2 linked regions of the Notamacropus eugenii genome follow. The protein of the gene in region 1 interacts with the protein of each later gene in a biochemical or structural test. Links are inferred from orthologs where the notes say so. Each region holds a gene or a part of one and is shown in the gene's direction. Other genes may lie near its edges.

The links. The genes of interacting proteins can lie anywhere in the genome.
Region 2: the proteins of PKP4 (region 1) and PDZD2 form a complex in vitro, tested with the Homo sapiens proteins (2 studies listed by BioGRID and IntAct, with this or other methods). The link is inferred for Notamacropus eugenii from reciprocal best matches to the Homo sapiens genes PKP4 and PDZD2.

Annotation. Positions count from the first base shown.
Region 1 is NC_092876.1:217,432,651-217,440,600, forward strand, and holds the start of PKP4 (plakophilin-4), read left to right. Parts: upstream 1-4,871; 5' UTR 4,872-4,976; intron 4,977-5,178; exon of another isoform or gene 5,179-7,950. UniProt on the Homo sapiens protein: Plays a role as a regulator of Rho activity during cytokinesis. May play a role in junctional plaques.
Region 2 is NC_092875.1:429,261,872-429,269,143, forward strand, and holds the start of PDZD2 (PDZ domain-containing protein 2), read left to right. Parts: upstream 1-4,241; 5' UTR 4,242-7,272.

The DNA of each region.
Region 1 (7,950 bases):
TAATGGTTAAACAAATTATAGTATACTTGATAAAATTCACTGATTTTATTAAAAAAACACATAAGGAATATAAAAAAATCTAGAAAGACCTTTATAAAATACAATACAAAAAGGGGTGGGAAAAGGCAGAACCAGAATTAATCAATCAATGAGCATTTAAGTGCCTACTATATGTCAGGCAATGGGGTTACAAAGGCCAAAAAAATAAAATGAAATAATTCCTTACTTTGAAGAGCTTACATTCTATGGGGGAAACAATCTCTACGGATACATAAGTAAATACAAAAGACCTCATGTTGGAGGTGGTGCTTGAATTGAGTTTTGATGGAAACTAGGGATCTTAAAGATGAGGAAGGAGTGCATTCCAGGCAATAGTTTGGCGTGTGTGTGTGTGTGTGTGTGTGTGTGTGTGTGTGTGTGTTGTGAAATGAACCTCAAAAAGGGCTTCAAATTCCCAAAAAATTAATTCTAGATGAAATAGGACCAAAATCCCATTACGAACATATAAAAAGTAAATGACAAGTGAAAAAGAAACTGATGGAGACTAAGGGGAGAAGTGACATATTACATATTAAAATTTATTTGAATGCAAATAGTTGCAAAGTAAATTCAATGATTTATATTGATATTTAATATTCAGCTTAAAATAGAGCATTAAAGATAAAATCAAAGACTCTTTTTTTATGTCAGGAAGAAGCTTGGGATTGTTGAAATGTTGCACTTTCTTAAAGCAACGCAGCTTGCTCTCTTCCTACCATTCAACTCTGGGCCCAACTCAGTTTCCAGCTGCAGTGCTTGACCCAGACATGATATACTGACTCAGTGAACTGTTTGTTGTTCCAACAAATGCTGGACATCAGTCAGCATTTTTCATCCATTTAGTTTTTTTCCTCTAGGGATTGTTAGGTTGATCTCTTTTGTATAATCATGGATCTCACTGAGAAGGCCTTGTAATGTTCTCATGTTAGATTCAATCAGCACAATGTCATTCACAAAGATTATCTGGAATACCTTACAGTCTGTGGAGAATTCTTCTTTCATTTGGATCCTACATAGAACAACATCCACAAGAGAGAAAAAAAAAACATCTCTGGCAAGAACAAGTTTTCTTGCATGATACTTTGATAAACTTCAATAACCAGAGTGCCATTGACTATATTTTGCTAGGTCAACTACTTTTTTGGAATCAAATATATACAATAGGATCTTATGTTTCCTTGTAACCTTTAGTCTGCTATTCAATTTCCAAGATGTGGACTGTGGAAGAAAATCATTTGTGAAAGCCTGAGTGTTCCTTTTATGTATTTTCTTGAAGCATGCTCTTGGTAAGGAACATATATCTGTATCTATATGTCATTCTCATGAAGGTTTTATGAGAAATATAAGCAAAAGAGCTTGTCTTCTCTATTTTCTTCTTTGGTGGTATTAACATTGTTTTTTCCCTATTATTTTGGTGTTCTCCTTTTCCAGAGATGGATGTTTAAAATTAATTCAATGCTTCCAACATTGTGTTACCTCCAGTAAGTATATCATGAATGTATATTTCAGCTGCTCTGGCAATTCTTTAAGGGCCATTTCTATTTTCTTGGATAAAGATCTGGGACCAAGGTATTGGGGATTACATGTGGTGGTTCCTCTTGTACTACAGATAAAAATGGAAAAAAGAAAAAACACAAAGAGTGCTAAAGGAAACTGTCAGGAGGACAACAAACAGGTTATACTTTTGCAGGAAATGATGATAGTCAAGATTCGTACCTTTGCCTTTTTCTTTTCCATTTTTTGGCACTAATAGCTTGTTTGATTTTGTCAGGTCAAAATAAGTGCAATTGCACTCTTATTTTAGCAAAAAAGTGGTATACCAAAGAATAATTATCTAATACAAATGCACCCTTACTTTTGGAGAGGGAAATGGCAAACCATTCCAGTGTCTTTGCCAAGAAAACCCCAAATAGGGTCATGAAGAGTCAGACTTGATTGACTTGATTGACAATAAGCCCCTACTTTACAAAGTAGCTGCACTCTTGAAAAGTTGAGCATAAACTGAACTTTTGTAAAGTTAATATTATTTTAAAATATATCAGCCCAGTATAATCTAAAAGGATCCCCGAAGTGAAGTTGTGAGCATGGCAAAGAATTATATTGTAATCCAAACTATTACTAATTTATCTGTTAAATAAGCCTAATTGAAACAAACAATGTTAGTTTTTCTTTAAGTGGGGCAGTAGCTAGAGTTCTGTAGGTTTATCAAAGAGAACCATTTTTACCATAGTTATAGTAAAATAAATGTATATTGAGCTGTAGCATATTACAGAATTAAATTAGTTATATTTTATTCAATTTTAATTATTACAAACAGCATATGCAATATAAAATCCTAATGAAATTCATCATTTTGGAAAAGTATATAATTCTACAATGAAAATAATTTGTTTTTGTTTCTTCTGCTTCCCATTCAGCCCCAGAAATGGAGAAAATGAAATCATTGCTGCTCTATCTGCATTAATAAAAATACCTTGCATTCATAAGCTGTTACAATCAAACCTTATATAGCACTGGCATGTCGTATGCTCATCAATGTATTACTTTTCCTGTGGGTTCATTTATAAAGTTTGAATTTTACTTATTCTGTCTTTCAACAGAAGCATGGTTAGTTATCCCTTTCCAAAGCAGGCAGACCAAATTCCCATGATGGTAAGGCAAGAAAACACTGAACCCACTGACTTGTTGCTCCCTACCCAGCACTGGATACGTACAAGTCACTCCACAAACAATTGTACAAATGTTCACTTGCCATCTGGGATTGTCTGACCCTGAACAAAGATGTCAACTAGGTTTGGATTTTATCACACATATTACGGAGCCTGAAAACACAGTCACCCTATTAATGAGCTAATGCATAATATTTATGATTAGACCAGGGACACTACTGTATAATGCTTCCAAACTTTTTTTTAAAAAATCTAATAGCAAAACACATTATCTAATTTAAGATTCATAACAGAAGCAAGAGACTTTCCTCTCTCAATGAAATATTTCTAAATACTTCAAATTTCTAGATATTCCAAAAACACAATCATTTTTCACAAAATTGTCTTTAAAACAGCAGGTTCTTTAATAAAAATGTAACCTGGATATTGATAGCTTAAAAAAACCTTTTATCTTTAATAAAATAAATATCATTAGAAAACTAATGGTTATATTCCATTGCAATAATATAATAATTATTTCCTGTGAAATTCATTAGTTGTCCTTGCTTTAACTGGGTCCATTTTCCTTTTTTTAGACTTAGAAAAATAACATTTATTTCCATTTTACAGATTGGGAAACAGGAACAGGGTGACTATGTCATAAAGCAAAGCAGTAAGGGAGGCAGGATTAAAACCTAAGATGCACATGCTCACTCCAGTTACCTGAAACCAGGTTCACACTTAAGTTTAAGGAATATTAAACTCCCTAAAAATTGTTGACCAGAATTTTGATTCCATCCTCTCTCCCCTTGATTATGATACAAATATGAAAAAGCATGAGGCATTAAAGTTGCACATTATACCTTTACCCAGAAGCCAATCTCCTACTTACTATAGATATTGTCTGTCAAACTTGGATTGTTTTGTTGCTCTATTATGGGCAGAAGCTTAATAAATTCCATTTGATACTAAAGGAGAGATGAGAAGTTGTGGGCTAGGTTAAAATGTGTTTTAAATTCCAGTCCTTATTGTACTCACTGTAAAATGTAACTCACCACACTGACTTTTTCCTTGCCATTTTTGTTTTCCTTTAAAGGAAAAATACTCCTGAAAAATATCTCCCGGTTGGGGCCTGAATTTCAAACATCGACTTTGAAGTGAGATCTTCAGGGGGTGAGATAAATATGCAGAAAAGGAATTCCTGAGTAACACAAGATTCAGGGGATTTTGCATATGGGGGAAGAGGGAAGGATGGGAAAACAGACTCACCCGCATTAGCTGATGCTGCATTTAGGTCAAAGGGCGTAGTTTCAGGGGCCCGTTTCCCAAACCAAGGACAAGTGCATGCAGTACTTGTTTCTGAGGTCACCTTCAGGGACAGGTAAATTATATGGGTTTGGGGGTGGGGTAGGGTGTCTTCGGTACCACGGACAAGGCCTGTCAAGGGGGAAGCAAGAAATCAGGGGAAGAAAGGGAAGGGAAGGCCCACCCAATCCACGTCTAAGATACGGAATGAGGGAATCCCCCCGGCTCAAATCCTCCCACTCCTCCTCCTACCCGGGTGGTTCTAGGCAAATCACTGGGACCTTCCGGGCTCTCAGTTTTCTCAAAAGTAAAATGAAGGGGCTGGACTAGGTGGCCCCCGAAGTCCTTTTTGGATCTAGATCTAGGATACTCTGGCTCCTCGTAACCCACCCCCAGGGTCCCCACCCCCGAAGCCGGACACCTTCGTTCTCCCCACCCTCTCCACCTTTTCTAGCCGCTCTCGCTCTTAACAGCATCGGTCTCTATGGCGACCTGAAACCCCGAATTCCATTGGCCCGTTCAATATGAGGGCCGGGCCAATAGGGTGGGACAGCCTTTTCCTGCCGTCCAATGAAAGCGGGTGCGGAGCAGGTCGGGGGACGGCGGCGTGCTGACGTTCCCGGGAGCCCTAGGCTGGCTGGCTGGCTGACTGACTGACTGACTGGGCGGTGGGGGCTGCTTGGCGGAGCTCGGCAGCACCCAGGCACCGGGGCTGATTCCGTGCTGTCGCCGAGGAAGGTGGCACCATGGGCACCGGGTAGAGGGGGAAGTTGGCCGCCGCCGCCGCCTCCCGGGGGTGGGGTGGGAGAAGTGTTGCAGGGGAGGGGGCGGGCGGGCGGGAGGGGGTTCAGCGGGGGGGTTCGGGGGAAGGGGAGGGAAGCTCCCTTGGCCCTGGCACTTTTTTTTTGGGTGCCGCAGCCGCGACCCCTCCGCGCGGATGTCCCCGATTCCCGGAGCGTCGGCAGCCGCTTCCTAACCTGGAAAGTAAGTGTGCGGCAGGCGGGGAGGGCGCCGAACCTTATCCCCACCCCCCACTCCGTGGCCCTTCACTTCCCGACTCCTGGTACTGTTCCCTCGGCTCACCCCGCAAACCTCGGGATCGGGGCGAGGGTGGGGGAGGGTGTGGGAAGGGGAGACTCCCGTTACAACCGCCCCCACCCACCTACTTCTCTCCTTTCCTGCCCCGCCTCGTGTTCCTGCCTGCACTCGCCTTCTCCCCTCCCCCCCACCCCCCAAGGCACTGAAGTTTCCACCTCCATTTGCTTTTCCCAGGATTTTTCCCCCTTCCCTTCTGCTTACCTCTCTACCTTCCTGGACTGTGTATATATTTATACTCTCCGGTCTCTCCCTGGTCTGTGGCTTTCAGATTCCGCCCTTCCCCACCAACCTCCTCTCCCTCCTCCTCCCCTCCGACTAATCCTTCCCTGCAAATCTGCCCTTGCTCCTTTCCCTCTCCTGTCCCTTCTGGCTTTATGCCCCGTACTTTGGCTTCTTCTTCCTCTTCCCCATACCCTCTTTCATTCTGCCCTCACCTTCGTTTCTCTTCCCCACTCCCCCACTCCTTCTTCTCTAGTAAAACCTCCTGTTCATCTGATTTGCCCTAAATTCTCCATCTCCTACAAGCCTTTAAACCCCTGTCCTCTTCCCACCAGTCTTAACTGAATTCTGGAGAACTGGTTAGATCTTCCACTTTGCTTTGCGCTTTTCCTTTCTTTGAACACCTCTTCTCCGCCTCCCCTACCCCAATTCCAGCGTGGAGGTCTGTCTTGCACCCCTCACCCCTTCTTGGTCATCTTCCACACACCCTTATTCTCTCCGTGAGTGTTGCTTTAGCCCCTTTCCCCCTGATCCGCACTCCTGCATGTACTCCTCAGTTCACTTCTCTACCAGTCTTCTTTTGCCTCCTGCACATCTTTTCTCCCCCGATCCCCCAGGCTCCCCAACATGTTACGCGCAGGAGTTGAAATAACGTTTCCTCGGCCGTTGGGCGGCTGTCTCGGAGCAGCTTTTTGCCACTAGCCTCCTTTGCCCGGGCAGGGAGGGGGATTTGGCTCGGATTTAGCTGCGTGTTGGCGGAGTGCGACAAGCCGCCGAGTGCGGCTCTGAAACCGTGGTTGTAGCCGCTTAGGGCTGATGAATAGGCAGGTGTGTGTGTGCCTGGAGGAGACGCGCGCTGTTTGTTCCTCGGGCGGTAGATTGTGTAGGAATGTGAGGAATGCTTTGGGGGCAGAGTATGCACACCCTGCCGCTGCCGCCGCTCCCTGCTCAGCTCTCTCCATTAGCCAGAGGTCACTGGAGCATCTTCTCGGGAGCTGGTGAGGCTCTTACTTTTCTCCGCCTCCTTCCCTCTCTCCTTGCGGCAGAGCGGGCACTGGGGAAGTGTGACAAGCAGATCTGCCTGCCGTCAGCCTGGCAGGCAGTATTCGTGCTTCGGCTCGGTTTTGCGGCATTTTTCTTCAGGAGGATGAATTGGGGGGAGGGGGAAAAAGACTCCCACTTAACAAGGTCATTGGTCGTTGAATCTTCTCAAGTTTGGTTTGCAGTGTTTCATGAGTGTCTGATTTTTGTGTGCCACTGGGTTCTCAGAGAAGCAGAAGGTGGATGTTTTTAGGATGGTGCTGTTGCAAACAACATGGTTAGCCGTTTTAATAATGTCTGTTAGTGCTTGTGAAGGGAGACATAATCTGAAGATTTGTGGACCTCAGATGTCATGAGATTTGTAATTTTTGATCCTGCCATGCTGCTTTAGAATCCCATATAATGCATAATGAATAGAAACAGAGAGGCAGTGTTTGACCAGAGATGGGACAGATAGAACTGTCTGGTACAGTTAAATTAGGGGCTTGTCAATTACCTTTTGAAATAGCAGAGAAATACAATGAGATATAACAATCACAGACATGTCTATTCCAAGATTTATATTTATTAAGAAAGGTCATGTTTCTGGTTTTGTAATTATCCCAGTCCTTTTAGGAGAAGGGGAAGAGGAAAAGAGAATAACTTTTAAGCATGGTGGCTCAATTGAATAAAATGAAAAATTATTGGTATGTTTTTTAAGTGAAAAGTTGATTTTTTTTCTTAACATGAAGGAAACAAGTTGAAGAATGCTTTTGATATATTTTTAAAGAGAGGAGAATTTTTTCGTTTGCAATATTTTACATTCTCTTTCATTTGGCTATGTGACTTGTCTTTTTGGTGACACTTTTAGTAACAAGGTCACAGATGATTTTGTACAAGTACATTAAACAAAATTTGTTGGAAGCTTTCCTTTCTGGTGTTGTAGAGAAACCTTAATGGAAACAAACAAAATTATTGTCTGGGGGGAAGGAACGAAAAGTAAAAGTGATTATGTATGTTGCTTTGAGAGACCTACTGTGTGTGCTTTATATGGGACACATTTTGCTTTTGAGAATGTTATCTATAAACTCCTCCGAAAATTTTGGATCAGACTCAGGAAAATGATAAATTTATTTGCCAAATTAAGATATTTTTCTGTGATCACTTGGCTTGTATTGAGCCATGAAGAGTATAGCATGAAACTTTTGTATGAAAACTGGACAAGGCAAAATAGAAAACAAAAACTTAGAGAAAATTACACCTTACCACTGAAGCTTTCTTATACCTATGTTTACAGTTGATGAACATTCTAAATTAAGGGTCTGCTTGATATCTATCATTGTAAAGGACATAGATTTTTGTAATTGTAGCAGCAAACTTTTATTATGTAACATTTTAGAACCAGTGACAGTACAAGGTAAATTATATTGTTATTTGATTTGAAATTCATTCTAAAGGATAGAGAACAGGTTGTTTCCTTGCTGTATTCTCTGTTGCAAATTGAAATAGCTATATATATACTGTATACATGTTTTAGGTAGATGGTTTTAACTGCTTGAGAGACCTTTCTGTATTCAATCATGCATTCTAAAGTTTTGATTCTGTTTATAGAAATTGCTCC
Region 2 (7,272 bases), on another chromosome or scaffold:
CATCTAGTTCTCTTTTTAAGTTATTTGTATTTAGAAATATTCGTGCTTATTGATAGTTGTCAAGTTCATAATAAAAAAAGAAAAATAATTTTTTAAAATCTTCCTGTGTTTCTCTGAATCTTTTATTTTTGTAGTTTCCTGTGGCTGAGCAATATTCCATGATATTCAAGTACTTCAGTGTATTTAATCATTTCCAATGAATCTTACATTGTTTCTACTTCTTTGCTGCCATAAAAGCACTGCTATGAATATTTTGGTCTCTGTCAGTCAGAAAATGTCTGCCTGTACGCTACCTAACCCAAATGCAAGTGCACATCAATTTGCTTTGTTTGATTTTCCCAATCTAACAGGGACTTAAGGTCATTGAGCATCATTGCCATCATACTTGTGGCCACCATTAAGTGCATGGGATGCTATGGGAGAACCCTTTGAAGGGTTGTGAATGTTGTTAGATGGTGTTTAACTTTTTCTTTTTTAAAACCCAGGAAAGGTTCTGTGGGGAACTGGGGGTACAGAAGAAAGGGAGGATATTAGGAAAGGTCTGGGATATTTTAAAAAATCTCCAAAAGGAAAAAAAGTTAAAAACCTCTCAATCTAAAAGCATTTTTAAATCACCACCATATACTGGGTACTGTGCTGGTTGTTAGAGATACAAAGACAAAGTGAGACACTCTGTATAGACACAGAATCTAAAGCTGGAAAGAAATTTGGAGACCAATCAACAAGCATTTAGTAAGTCCTTACTGCATAACGTCACATAGACCAAAGGAATCAAATATGAAACCCTCAGACTGGCTGTGTCATGGCTGGCACATGGGAACTGGATTAAAATGTAATTGGGAAATATTTAGCAAATTAAATAAATACAATTGGAACATAGATAATGTGCCACACATCCTTATGTATGGTTTAGAGGCCCCCTTTCCATTTGGGTTTGACATCAATGCCATAGACCACTGCTCTAGACCAATGCTTTAATTTTGCAGATAAGGAAACTGAGGCTGAGGAAGACTTTGACTTATCCATAATCACATGGATAGTGAGTCAGTATTTGAACCCAGGTCCCCTTCTGATTCCAAATCCAGAGCTCATTTCACACAACTGCTAAAGTCATCTATGGCCATTGGGATTTTTCAGTTTAAAACTTATAAAATCATGGATCATAATATACCACAAAGAAAGCATGAGCCACATTAACATAAGCAAACTCAGCTCTCAATTACCCATGATGAAGGCTGAGAAAAGATCAAATAAAGTTCATGCCCAATCCTCAAACTGCTTGCAAGACAATTATTTCATCTTCTTCCATCAAGCCTTAATAAAAAACATTACAAATGAAAATTTGTAGGTGGAGATGTATTTCTTTTCTATCTATTTTATCATATTCATTGTACTCCTGGAAGGGGGATGGGTGGATCACAAGCAACAGCAGACTCTGCCTGCCCCAGGCTTCCCACCTAGCAGATTCTGTTGCTATAGGGTCCTATCTGAAGGTGATGGAAAGAAAATTGGAACTCTGAAGTCAGAGGATTCGGGTTCAGTGTTTGCTATTTGAATGATCTTGGGCAAGTTGTTTAACCTCCCCGTTCCTCAGTTTTCTCATTTGTAAGATGGAGAGTTTGGACTGGGTGGACTCTGTATTAATGAATGAGGCGGGATGGGAAGGAGTTCTGGTGGTGTAGCCCCACTTCCCTGTGTCTGAACCAGTGGCATCAGATGATAAGCCACTAACAGGCTCTGTAATCCCAGGCAATCGGAGCTGTGCTAATGCTCAGTTTATCTTTAATATTAATATCAGTAATTCACAGTTCTCTAGGGCTTTAAGCTTTACAAAACATTTTCTTGATGCCGACTCTGAGCTAGGCAGAAAAATTATGATTCTCCTTTTTCACATGACAAAATGGAGTCTCAAAGGATGAGTGACTTATCCAGGGTCACAGTGCTACTAAGCATCAGAGTGGGAATTTGAACTGAAACATCTCCTGATGTTACATGCATTACTCTTTGTACAGTGTCATGTTACCTCTCATCGGCAAGTGATAATTCAGCATCTACTCTGCACTGGGCATGTGTAGACAGATAATCATTGTCAAAGAAGTTCAGAGGACAGAGCTGTCACTGTGTGTTGAAGTAATCAAGGAACATTTCACAAGAGGAAATTGTGCTTGAGTAGACCCTTGATGGACCAATAGGATTTTAGTTGGTAAAGAGAAGGGCATTATGGGTGAGAGGTAGGAAATGAGGGAAGATATGGAACTTAGTAAAAAAAAAAAATATGTGACTTCTAGATTGAGGGAAGCAAGAGGGTCTTGCCTCTAGGACTGGTTTTGTGAGAGAAAGGGCTCAAGGCTTGTGTCAAACTACCCTACCAATTGACTTGCTGAGTGGTCTTGGATGCCAGTTAACATCTCTAGAACCTTTTTGTTCTGTCACTAAATGAGACGTGCATTTTGCTTATATTGTAGTCACTGTTTTCCGCCTCACTAGTTTGAGACCATTGAAGTCTTTGACCTCATCCCTATGGCCTAAAACAGTCAGGTCAGTCCCACCAGAAAAAAGAAAGCCTGTTTATGATAGCAAAACACTTTGCTTGGGAAAAAACATTTCAACCAAAATTGAAAGTGGTCCAGGAGCGTCCAACTGTGCAGGATGTTGGGTGGATGAGTTAATGAGTGATTGCTGGGTTCTTTGAAATCTCAAAGTGCTGGGAACGTACTGTGTATTTTTGCCATGCCCAGGAAAAGCTGGGTTGCTGGAAAGGGTGACGGACAATTTGTTTCCCTCTTGAGGGTCATACGCTGGGCTGCCTGTGCCCAGGATTGGCTTTAGCAGGAGTTCATCAGGCCAAGCTGGAACAAGGGCAATGGACCATATGCTTCTTGGCTTGGGAGGTAAATTGCATTTTTTCTTAACTTTATGTTGTGGGTGAGCAGCAGGATCCCCCCACGTTGCTGAAGCCTCCACCTGCTAGTATTACATATCGGGAATTGATCTGTTAGTGAAGTGCGGGTTTTCTGGCTATGGGAGGATTATGATGATTCTAGGATAGTGAAGAAAGGAAGAGGGGGAGAGGAAGATGGAGGGGAGAAGGAGAGGGAGAGGGAGGGAGGGAGAGAGGGAGGAAGAGAGAGAGAGAGAGAGAGAGAGAGAGAGAGAGAGAGAGAGAAGAAGAGACATATATAGAGAGATGGAGAGAGACAAAGAAGAAAGAAGAGAGAGGAAAGAGAAAGGGAGAGGAGAAAGTGAGTAGACAGAGAAGAAGGGAGAAAGAGAGAGAGAGAAGAGGGAAGCAGCATATTTGATAGTAGAATATTAAGATTAATTGGTGTTCTTTTGCCATTAAAACGTCTTCCTGGGTGTTTTCTCTCTGAGCTGACTGAAGTATCCATGGTGACTTGTTAGCGACATTTGGAAACAAAAATATTGTCAATGTGTGCAAGGCAGTTTATGTTTAAGGAAATGCCTTCTTGAAAAGTAGGGTTTGCATGAGTCCAGTTATCAGGCAGCTGCACCTTCCTCTTTGGAGACAGGCATTGAAAAGAACCCTGAAGTCTTTCTTCAGTCTTTGGGGTGGGAGTTGTGTGGGCCTGGCTGTCGGTGACGAGCTGAGGCTCAGGGTTGCTGTTTCTGGCTTTCCTCTGGTATACTAGGTTCAGTGGCAAGCCTCAGGCTCAGATGGGCTATTTAGGGGACCCAAACCAAATACCCATCAGTGATGGATCAAATCCTTGCAGTTATTCTTTCTGTTTGGTTAAACTCTTGGAGTTGTTGTTTCTTGGGAGACAGTGATAGTCAATGAAAAAAAAATGTTAGTTTTGGAGTCAGAAGACCTGGGTTCAAATTCACTTTTGCCATATCACTACCTGGGTGAACTCGAACAACTTATCTTGCCTCTTTAGATCTTTAAGGTTTCTTCATCCACAAAATGAGAGGATTGAACTAGATAGCCCCTATGATAACTTCTAGCTCAAAACTTGTGATACTGTAAATACCAATGCTGAGTCTACTTTTACTCACTTTACTCATCTTACACAGGTTCCATGGACCTAAGAATGCTTTTAGACAAAGTGCTTTGAGATCCTGTACTACATCTATGCAAGGTAGTGGGAAACGCCTTCCAAATGATGATTTATTCACCATGGGAAAGATTGTAAGAGTTTGAGTGCAATTTTATTGATGATGTTTGATGGAGAGTCACATTAGAGGAGGGGAAACATCTGGATTTTGCCATTCCAGCTATTGGGAGGAGAGGGAGGGGGAAAGAAATGGTAACAACTGGAAAAGAAGAGTTTTGATTGCCTTCCCCTTGAAACAGGCAATGTACTGATCTGAGCTGGAGTTCTCTAACCTCAAGCCAGAAATGTCTTAGACTCCTGGAGGTGGAAATGGAGATGGAGCAGGTATTTAAAAGATGGAGAAACACTTGCTTCTCAGACATTGCAACAGAAAGAAGTTAGGAGAAATCGTAACAATGGTCGGGCCAAAGAAAAGATCTGGGACCATCTGCTAAGGAGAGGAAGCATGCACCCTGAGTTTTGTAGATGATCTCTGAATTTTCTTTGGACGCCACTTAAACCCCACCCAAGCTTCTGATTTACTAAGAATCCAACCTCCCTGCATTTCCTGATGAGCCGCTGTTCTTCATTTCCTGTGAGGACAGACTAAGAGGAAGAAATGGATTTGGTTTGCAGGAGAGGGGTTTAGGTTAAACTGTACTGGTATGGCTGGGGCGTTTGACTCAGCGGCCCCCCCTAGAGCCTTCTGCCCCCTGCCTACTGAAGCAGTACCTCCTTCAGTGAATTTGCGCACCCACTCAGAGAAACATTGGTGGGTCCCCAGTCTGAGCCTGCCAACTGCCTCTCCTGGACAAGTGAGTTTAATTACGTGCTGCTCCCTAGAAATGATGCTGACTTGCCCTCGAAATCCTTGACAGGATGCCAGACCCTGCTATGTCTGGAACTGCCTCCTATGGCAAGAGGAGGGATGGGTTTGCTCAGCCTGGCAATCCTCCCTTGCCCCCACCTCGCCTTAGCAGCCCAGAGGCTTCCAGAGATGCACCCATGACACCTCCTGTGTTATAGTTTGTGTTGTTTCAATGTGCAGCCCAAAGCATGGGATATGAGGCTTTTCAGAGGATGGTGCACTGTTGAGGCTGGTCTGGTATTGGATAATTCTGGATCCTTCTTCTCCTCCTCCTTCTCCTTTTCTCCCTCCTCTTACCCCTCTTCTTCCTACTCCTATTCCTTCTCCTTTCCTCTCTTGTGGTTCCCAGATCAACTTAGCCTTGTTCTTCGAGAGGGCATCTTTTGCTCTGAGGTTTACTCCCTGTCAGGGATTATGATAATACTTACAAAGTGGTTTTGATTCTGAGATGACATAGTGCCCAATATGGGACCATTATACATTTCTTATCATGAAGACGTTATTCAGGAGGAAAATGGCTCCTGCTTTTCTTTCCCTCATTGCATATGATGCCTTGGTGGCTCAGGGGAGGGTGCTGGCTCATTCATATTCTTAGCATCTCTACTGGAAACCAGACGCCGTATTCTTCATCAGAATATGATAAGGGCAAGAATAAACAGGCAATGTTACTGGTCACTATGGTCTTCATGGAAAGCCATGTCTCCTTCCTCCCTCCCACCCCCAGTCCCCAGCATCCCATTCAAAACTCTCAGTCATCTCTCACTTCAGGTGGTACAATAGATAGAGTGCTTACTAGACCTAAAGTAAGGCAGACCTAAGTTCAAATCCAGCCTCAGACACTTACTAGCTGTGGAACCCAGGGCAAGTCACTTAAGCTCTGTTTGCCTCAGTTTCCTCATCTGTAAAATGGGGATAAGGATAGCACCGGCCTCCCAGGGTTGTCGTGAGGATCCAGTGAGATAATATTTATAATATATATTATATAAAGTACACATAGTATTTTAAGTACTATGTACTTAGTACAGTGTCTGGTACATAGTAAGTACTACAAAATGTTAGCTATTACATTATTATTTAGCAGCTGAAGTGGAAATTATCTGCAAAAATCAGCTGGCCCCTTTGTATGAAGCAGGTCTTGTACTTAACTCATTGACCTTTTGTGACCTTAAAATCCACAGTTTTTCTTTTGTATTTGTCTCATTTATTGTCCATGTTAAAACTTCATTAGGCAGTGTCCCCATTTCTCTGATGATTGGCCAGTGCAGGAGGGATTTGACTTTTCAGACAATCCTCCCTGGAATCTTAAATGATCCCAGCTCCAAACTTCTTATCTTTTGCATTTTCCCAGATGCCTTATGCTTATTTTATAACCACTAGTCATATCACAAACCATCATGAATGCCATTCCCTGCATATCTTCTCTGCACTCTTAGAAGCTGGTGAGTGATTGCAGAGGACTGGGTGTCTCAGGGCAGGTATGCTGTGATGTTTTCGGTTAGCCTGCTGGGTGTAGAAGTTAAACTTCCTCCCCCTTCTTCCTTTCCTTCTGTTTCTTCCCTCCTTCCTTTCTTTTCCCTCTCTCTCCTCCTCCTTCTCCCCATTTCCCTTTCCTAACACAGTTTCTTCAAAACAAAAACCAAACAAAAAAACCCAGTGAAATACATAAGGAAAAGCTGTGCAAGGTTTTTTCTCCGACAATATATGTTGACATGACATAATTTGGATTTCTTTACCAATTTCAGAAGATATAGTTTGTGTGTCCAGCAGGAAATGGAGGTAATTTTTTTCCCCCTCCACTATAGTCTACCATGTCCCTAAGAGCTACAAAAATGACTGTAAGGTTAAAAATAAGACCTGTAAGGTCAGCTAAATGAAGGTAGCTTCTTAGAAGGAAATGATAAGCAGCAGTCCAGCATTTCTCACAAGGACAGAATAGGAGAAGGAAATTGACTTGAGCTACAGAAATGACAGATTTGGGTTATAGAAAGGAAAACTAAGCTGACTGGGAGAATTGTTGAATATTAGAATGGGTTATTGTGCCGTTTGTAGTCAGCAAATTTGACTTTGAGTTTGTAAGGGTTATATTTAACAAGACTGAATTTTCTTTAAAATACTTGACGTACAATTGAGGTCAAGTGACACAGGATGGACTTGGGTGTTGACTGTGTGTCCAAAGAGGTAGACTTTCCATAGGTTTGGTTAACTGAGAGATCTAAGTTAGCCTACTTTTGCATTCAATGATACTTTTTGTATAAATCAGAGCTCTTTATTAAAATAGTTAAGAACTAACTTATTTGGGTTATGACTAAAAACCTATAATTTAGAAAGTTTAAGGAAATACAGATAATT